Linked DNA regions of Coturnix japonica. The protein of the gene in region 2 binds, or shares a complex with, the protein of the main gene of each other region. Links are inferred from orthologs where the notes say so. Each region holds a gene or a part of one and is shown on either strand. Other genes may lie near its edges. The genes, in order: POLR2F and TAF1B.

Region 1 (4,467 bases), on a different chromosome or scaffold from region 2:
TCAATTTGAGAACCCAGTATGTAAAGGAATCCAGTTACTCTGCTTGAAGATTACCTGCATGCAACATAGTAACCTGCTTTCTACACTGGCAAACTGTGTGCCACCAGGGCACTCTGCTGTGGGCCTCTAAGCAGTGATCCAGAAACTGCCAGAAAAGGTTCAAATCAATCTCTCTGTATGCAAGAGGTGCGTCTCCTGCCAGCACAATAAGCCAAGTATAGAAGGGTGCAGTGAAACAACATTCTGACCAGAGTCTCCACATCACCACCCTGACCCCAGTTTTGTTTATTTAAGTCAGCAATTCATCTGAGCACAGGTCTGTTCAGAAGGCTGCTTCAAATTAATTCCTTTCAGAGAATTAAACTGATTCCTTATGGGGATCTTTGGTTCTCATCATAGAAATGACTCTTATATAAAAAGAGGTCAGAGCACTGCTCATCATCAGCAAGAACTCCTAGGATGGGAGAAGCTGTGGAGAAGGTCCAAGGAGGAAAAGTGGAAGGAAACTGCAGAACTCACCGTGGTTGATAAAAAAAGAAGGTTGTCTTAGAATATACTGCATGGAATAAGTTGTAAAGTGCTGAGATAAGCAGAGGATAGCTTGCTTTGTAGAAAACAATACATACACTGCCTAAGGCTGGGACTTACTTGAGTTCTTTCATGGCAATCAGCAAGGGGTCTGTCTCTCCTTCCAGCTCCACCATCACGGGTGCACACATCCTGGGACAAACAGCAACAGCCATTTCAGAGAATGTACAGAAAGACAGAAGGGCCAACATATGACTGCATGCTGCACTCTTATCCACTCTGGGACAAAGGTTATCCCCAAGTGGCTACGGATTGAGTTTTCATTTGAATGCTCTTAATCCACCCCTCATCCTCTGCAAGTCAGCTGGGACTTGAGTGCTGGTCAGAACCACACCTGTCTAGTCTCACTGTGCTGTACTTATATGTGAAGAATAAGGGCAGATCTAAAATTAAAAATAATAGAGTTGGAACACTATAAAATGGGAATCTGACTTGCTTGAATCTTCAAGGCTTCCTTCAAAGGAAAACAAAGGGCTAGATTTATAATGCACTCTATCTCTAGAGCAAAAAAACAAATGCGTTTTGGTGAGGGCTGTAACAGTAAAGCAAACACAGTTGACAACTGTCTCAGGTGGCAGCAGAAGCAACAGAAGTTCACATTATGTGTGGGTAAAGCCACTGGGGGGCTGCTGCTGGCCTAGAGTCAACATCAATAGTCAACAGAATACGGAGGTGATAGAGACCAGGCACCAGTGTTTTGTATTAAATGCCTGGCACTGGCTCATCCCATCTCTTCCATCCTTCTGGCCTGCCACCAGTTGAAACAACATGCACAGAATTCCTTCCTGGAGTGATAACCAGGCGAAGAATAGCTCAGCAAAGTGATGATTAAGCAAAGATCACATAGAAGCTCATTGGTGGTAATCGAATCAGCTTCATTTTCAGGGTGGATGTAGCTAAGATTCCTTTCAGACCAATTTCAACACAGCCTAATCATCTCACTTACACAGCAGTTTCTCAAAGATCACAAAGGTTTTAGCAGGCATTACTAAAACAGATCTGGACAGATAAAAGGAAGAATTTGAGAGGAACTTGTCTTAAGGAGTGCTTAAAAGAGGATTTAAATGTTATTACCTATTAGAAGTGATGCTCCACTATTCCAAATAGTTAGTGAACATACAGTGTGCCACAATATAACCGTATGCTTAGTATTTCAAGACAGCTGTGCCATTCCTAGAGTTCTGATAGCCTTGTGATAATAATTAATGATATTACTTTATTACTTTTATTCAGCTTCCTCAAAGCTGAACTTTGCAGTAGTAGTTCTGAGTTTCCCAGCTCATGCTGGCTGCCTTATAGAAGGCAGAAAGCAGAACCAGAATGCCACGTTACCCACTCCATCTGCTTGTGACCCACAGCATCAGCTGGGGTGAGATTCAGAACTCACGTGTGGCTGACAGCTCACAGTATTGCTTTTTATTGCTTTTCACTGTTGATGGAGATGGCGATTCCCAAGCGGAACCGCCAGGTAAAGAATCACTTAAGGCTTTAGGGAGAAAGGAAGGAGCTTTAACAGGTCAAGCCATGAGAAGCACACAGTCCTACAGCAGGGATCCAGCTAATACTCACGCGATCTGGAGGGCACGTGTGCCCAGCACTCTGGCTCTCTCATACTTGGTCATGTAGGGGGTGGTGATTCGCTTCTGGTTCGCTGCCTGGCGCTCTCCGGAGGGGAGGATCTCCACGTTCTCCTGTCCCTCCTGGGTAAAGCACAGCACGACACAGCACCGTTACGGGCTGACTCCATGACCCGGAATGATCCATGATCGGAGCCCCGCAGAGCACCCACCTCCTCCACGTTCTCCAGGTCATCCAGCCCCTCGTCTTCCTCCACATCATCGAAGTCATCCCCATCGAAGCTGTGAGAGACAGGCAAGCACACATCGCACACAGGCCGGGAGACAGCGCCTGGACTCGGACTTAGCGCTGGACCGTCTCTAAGTCCAGGCTTTGATCTCTGATCCCAGCCCCCAGCCTCAGCCCTCAGCCCTCAGCCTCAGCCCTCAGCCCTCAGCCCTCAGCCCTCAGCCCTCAGCCCTCAGCCCTCAGCCCTCAGCCCTCAGCCTCAGCCTCAGCCTCAGCCTCAGCCTCAGCCTCAGCCTCAGCCTCAGCCTCAGCCTCAGCCTCAGCCTCAGCCTCAGCCTCAGCCTCAGCCCCACTCTCACTTGTCCTCGTTGTCCGACATCTTGTTTCCTCGCTCCCCGGCGGAAGTACTACCCACTTCCGGTCGTGCGCCGTGACGTCACGTTTCCGGAAGTAAACCGGCGGCGCCGTTGCCACAGAGACAGGACGCGGCTCCGCCTGCCCCGCTGTCCCTAATTGTTCTCCCACCGTCGCCACCAGCCATGGCCTTATCGACGGGAACGAGGCCAGCGGGAAGAGGCAGAGCCCGGTACAGCCCCGAGACACGAGAGGTGCTGAGAGGTAACGGGTTATGAGGGATGGAAGGCCGCGGGGACTCGGGGAAGGCGGTTGTGGGCCCTGTCCTGGGTCCTGTGCTGGGCCCTGTGCTGGGCTCTGTCCTGGATCCTGTCCTGGGTCCTGTCCTGGGCCGTGTCCTGGGCTCTGCGGGGCCGGGGCAGCCCACTGTGCTGTGTAGTAACACGTAGCTGTTGTTTTTTAGCCCTGATGGAGGAGTCGAAGCTGACGAGTTTCCAGAGGCGATTCCTGATGGACTGTTTGAGGCGTGAGTGCTTCCCACCTGGCACTCCTTCCCCAGCACTGTGCTGAACGCTCTCTGCTGCTTGCACTGCGGCCTTCTAGTACTTGAGGGAAGCTTACAAGGATGGAGATGGACTTTTTACACTGCGTAATGGTGACAGGACAAGGGGGAATGGCTTTAAACTAAAAGAGGGGAAATTTAGGTTAGATATTAGGGAGAAATTTTTCACTGAGAGGGTGGTGAGGTGCTGGCACAGGCTGCCCAGAGAAGCTGTGGGTGCCCCACCTCTGGAGGTGCCCAAAGCCAAGTTGAGCAGCTTGACCTGGTGGATGGAAGCCCTACCAATGGCAGGAGGTTGGAACAGGGTGGTCTTTGAGGTCCTTTCCAACTTAAGCCATTTTATGGTTTTATGACCTTCTGCTGGTGGTAGGCTGGGGCCACTTGCCCAGACTCCTCTGCATCTGACATCAATATGTTGGGTTTGTTCTCCAGGGGGAGATTCTCTGCCCCTCCAATGCCACCCTACCTCCAGCCAAGAACAAGTGCTCGCGCCTCCTGCTTCCTCCCCACCGTGCCATCAGCCAAGCAAGCTGCCAGCTAAACCCCATCTTCGGCCTGCTGAGGTCTGCCGAGCAGGAGATGCCTACATCCGAGAGAAATTCAGGCCACAGGCAAGGCGTAAGTAAGCAAACATCACAGATAAATAAATCATGCTGTCCAGTTCTTCTCTTTCCCTTATGTCTAACCCCTCAGCACCTTTAGGGAATATCCTTAATTATTCTTCATGCTTTCTGTCTTCAAAGATGCTTTAAAGGGAGATCTCTGAGGGAGCGCCTGCTGCAAATGCTCACAGAGTTCTGCCTGCTGCCCAGGGGGACAATAGGTGACAGGAACTTGCACAATCCTTTGTAAGAAGAGATCACTGTGTAATTTTCTAGCTTGTAAACAAGGGTGAAACTTTAGAGCTCAGACTGGTTTGCCCATTACCATGTGTAGCAGAGTTCAGTCTGGGGCTGTGCTGTCACTTACATCATGCTTCCTCTGCCATCGTTAACAGCAAAGCAGGGCAGGCAGCTCCTTGCTGAGGAGACATGCTGCTAACAATTCATTTTTATCCACGGCATTCACAGGAGATTTGGAAAGGGAGAAGCAGAGGCTCCAAAATATCTTAGCGACTGGGAAGGATACAGTGGAGCACCAGGTGAAACAGATAACGG
Region 2 (3,813 bases):
GTACAAACTGCATTAACACCAGATCAAGTATGGTTCTAGGGGACTCTTTGTATAGGCATTCCTTGTCTCTACTATTTAAAACTTAAGATGAATCTTGCCTTGTTGAAATGATATGATGTGAGATTCCTGGCTGCAATAACTCAATGATCCCGTTGGTTCTTTCCTATCTCAAAGAGAACAAGATCCAGACGGAGAATATAAAGTGGCATGGAATTAATGAACAACAAATGGTTTTTCATTTTTCCTATTGACAAGGGAACTAAATTGCTCCTGAGGAAACCATTTCAGAATGAAATAAACAAATCTGTTTTTACCCAGAATGTGACTTAACTGCGACATCACCACTACAGAATTTTGAAGGATAAAAACATTACTAAAAACCCAATGCATTCTTGCACAGTAAGTCTAACATGAATTATTCAAACTAAACAGGAGTATAATAACGAGCTTAAAAGTTCCTGGATCAGTCGCTTCCAGAAACGGGAAGAGTATCTAAGGAGAAAAACATCACTTGCCACATTAACACCTCTCTCCCACTACCTGTTGCTTACTACTATCAAAAGTAGAATGAAGAACCTCAGGTTTTATTTAGTTTAATAAAATTCCTGTTTTCCTATTTACAAGGATGAGTGCAGTCTCTGTTGGTTTTGTTTGTTTGTTTCTGTTTGGTGGATTTTTTGTTTGTTTTAAATGGAATAGTAAAACCCAGTCACTGGGTTCCTGATCTGAAGTGTGGCAGCCCTGCCTATGGCAGGGAGCTCGGACTAGATGATCTTTAAGGTCCCTTCCAAACCAAGTAATTAATTTATACTTCCATATATATTAAAAGGAAGGGATCTTCATTCTGACCATGAACAACCAGCTGTTCAAGCAAAACCACACTCAGAGAAATCCTTCTCACCTTCTGTAGAAGACTGCAAGAGTAACTAGGAGAAAAGAGGGACAGGAGGGTCTACCCAAGGACAAACGTGATATATACGTGGAAAGAGAGAGGAGCTGAAAAGCCATGGAAGATCAACAAAAAATTATGAAGAGCACAGTAATACGAAGGCAGCTGACAGATGAGTGAGATGAGGACAAAGTACTAACTCTGAGACTACATTAAGTAGATCACTGTGAAGGCTGCAGTTTCAGTTAAGCAGTAGGAAAACGTCTGATTGAAGAATTCCAGCCACGGGTTGTAAAACAGTACAACATTCATTGTGCCCAGAGATGAAAGACTGAAGGGAAAGTATTTTAAGATGTAAATATTATTACAGTCAGAATTTCTATGATGGGAAAAGTTGGGGCAGACTTCTGTGCTGGCGGAAAGAGGTGGAGTTTACTCACGTCTTTTCCTAAGGATTTTAGATTTCTTCTTGAGTGAATAAAACAGGGGCTTTTCACATTTCCACAGATACCTACAAGTAAGAGAAATAAAAACTGTTAGGAAAAAGAAAACTAGAAAAAGCAAGTCAAATCGTAATTTCTTAATTAGATACAGCTATTAAAATAAAAACAAAATAATCTGTTGTTAACACCATTAAAAGACACCTCCTCCAAAACATACAGCAGCCTTTTTCTGCATAGATAAATGGAGGAATGTAAGCCTAGATTCACTGTGATCAGTTAATTGTTCAATTATATAAGCTACTTGTCACAGACAGTGTTTAATCAACATGCTGGATAAATATCATTATTGTAAACAGAAAATTGAGACACGGATGGAATCACTGTTCACCTAAATGTGCAGGATGGGAACATTGGAGCAAAGTCCAAACTTTTTCAGCTCCTGTGGGGGGTCAGGATTTCACTTACAATCATCTACCTTAATATTGCTATTATCATTATCCAGTACTTAAAAATCTCTTACTTGGCCTTTTCTTCATCCAGTTTTTTTTGCTCCACATCCAAGGTACATTTTATAACCTTGTACCACTTTTTGAACTCGAAATAAGGGCCACCTGAATAAAACATTCGTAATTTAGTTTTAGGTTGTGAAGGAGTGAAAGAAATGTGATACATAGAATGTGGTCACCATGCAGTTGGACTCTGCATCTCCCGTCTGTAGGCAAATCTTTAATTCCATCTGCTTATAGAAAACACACTTAACCCAACATTTCTGTAAGACAGAGAAAATGAAAAGCAGAAATACTAGAAAGGAACAGCATAAGAGGTGGGAAGAAACACCTCTGCTCAGAATATGTTTCCTAGTTTTAGACAAGTTAATCCTTCTCCCTCCTTTCTGAAAGTTAAGTGTAATTGCTACCAGAACTAGATCTCCACAACACTAACTGGTCTTCTTCCTCTGCTTGAAATCTGACTTCAAGGAATTCATGAAACTGTAGAAGCTTAGTTCTAAACAAATTCTGAAGCTCAGATGTAGGAGGTGAAGCAGTGTCACAGAATCACAGAATTGTAGGGGTTGGAAGGGACCTCTAGAGATCATCGAGTCCAACCCCCAACCCCACACCATCCATCCTGCTGCCCATGAGATGTTGCAAGGCAAGAAGGATAATCCAGACAATTGTATTCACTGAGTACCAGCGTCCCACATACACTGGATTCTCACTCATTGATATGTGAACAAATACATAGCAGTGCATGCAAAAACGTTAAGGCATAAGTCATTCCAGCAGCATGTTTACCACTGATACTCCAGAGAGGCACAGGATTGAAGTAGATCAACAGGGTACAATAAGTATAAGAACTGTGAACAGAACTATGGTGCAGGGTAAATTTAAATAACCAACTCTTATTATCCGTGGGTGTATTATCTGCATCATGAATTAACCAGGCTTTGCATTTCCCCATCACCCCAGCTGCTCTGCAAGGATGCTTGCATCATGCTCACTTCTAAAGAGCTAGCTGGCAAACTGTTCTGAAGGTGAATATACTGTTCTTATAAGCAAAGTTCTGTATGTCTTCTATGCTTTTGCTACTCAAGTTATCCTGCCACAAGAGGCCTTACAAACAAGAACTACAGCTGGCCTGAAATGGACAAACAAGGGGAAGAAAGACCCGTCAGTTATTAAAATGCAATGACATGGATAAAGTTCTGTTTCGAACTCCTCTGCACAGAGGGTGCTGGGAGGTTGGCCTGTGGGAAGAAAATAATTTTTGTATTTAACTTAATACAAATTATTCCAACATCTGTCACAAGGAAGCCCACTGTCAGGGACATGACACTAACCGTCCACGTGGCTGGTACTGCTAGTCCTGCATCGACACGGCTGAGTCAACTGGCAAATGCACAGCTCTGTGATGCACTCACACATATACACATACCTCAATCACATTTTATTTGAGCATAAACAGCATTGTGTACATGTGCAGTCTGCAGAACATACACTCACAGACACACGCAAGGAAGCTACAGCTACAACTGCTTCCAGGCTGTCTTGAGATGTAGGAGCTGAAATATTTTATACAGCAAAAGAAAAAGACTAGAGAGAGGATGGCTGTATTGCAAGTACAATATGCCAGATATGCTGGATCGTTACAGTGCAGTATCAGCTATTATTCATCTGAGCACACTAAGCTTGGTCAAGTGCCAGGGGCAGTGCTGAGCTCTGGCACTGATCAGTGCCCGAACAGAACACCATCACATCAGCTGCCTGCCGCTCCAACAGCTGAAGAACGGGACAACAGAACACAGCACAGGAATTGTTTGGCACCTGAAGGTTTCAAAGGTGGAAAAAAAAAAAAGTGGGCAAAGAATGAGCTGTTAATTCCCAAAGGCAACGAGACTTGTTAATAACAGAGAAACGCTATTAAGACATTAATGGCTTTGAGCCTCAGCTCGCAAGCAGTTGTGCAACTTCTGCTCAGGTC

The links.
Region 1: TAF1B (region 2) and POLR2F share a complex: the UniProt entries of both Homo sapiens proteins name them as parts of the pol I pre-initiation complex. The link is inferred for Coturnix japonica from reciprocal best matches to the Homo sapiens genes TAF1B and POLR2F.

Annotation. Positions count from the first base shown.
Region 1 is NC_029516.1:46,598,820-46,603,286, forward strand, and holds the start of POLR2F (DNA-directed RNA polymerases I, II, and III subunit RPABC2), read right to left. Parts: upstream 2,871-4,467; 5' UTR 2,774-2,870; coding exon 2,754-2,773; intron 2,448-2,753; coding exon 2,378-2,447; intron 2,289-2,377; coding exon 2,158-2,288; intron 721-2,157; coding exon 649-720; intron 1-648. Other genes in the region: C1H22orf23 (UPF0193 protein EVG1), read left to right, coding at 2,934-3,012, 3,212-3,274, 3,743-3,928, 4,381-4,467. UniProt on the Homo sapiens protein: DNA-dependent RNA polymerase catalyzes the transcription of DNA into RNA using the four ribonucleoside triphosphates as substrates.
Region 2 is NC_029518.1:87,994,656-87,998,468, reverse strand, and holds part of TAF1B (TATA box-binding protein-associated factor RNA polymerase I subunit B), read right to left. Parts: intron 1,944-3,813; coding exon 1,853-1,943; intron 1,401-1,852; coding exon 1,330-1,400; intron 1-1,329. UniProt on the Homo sapiens protein: Component of RNA polymerase I core factor complex that acts as a GTF2B/TFIIB-like factor and plays a key role in multiple steps during transcription initiation such as pre-initiation complex (PIC) assembly and postpolymerase recruitment events in polymerase I (Pol I) transcription.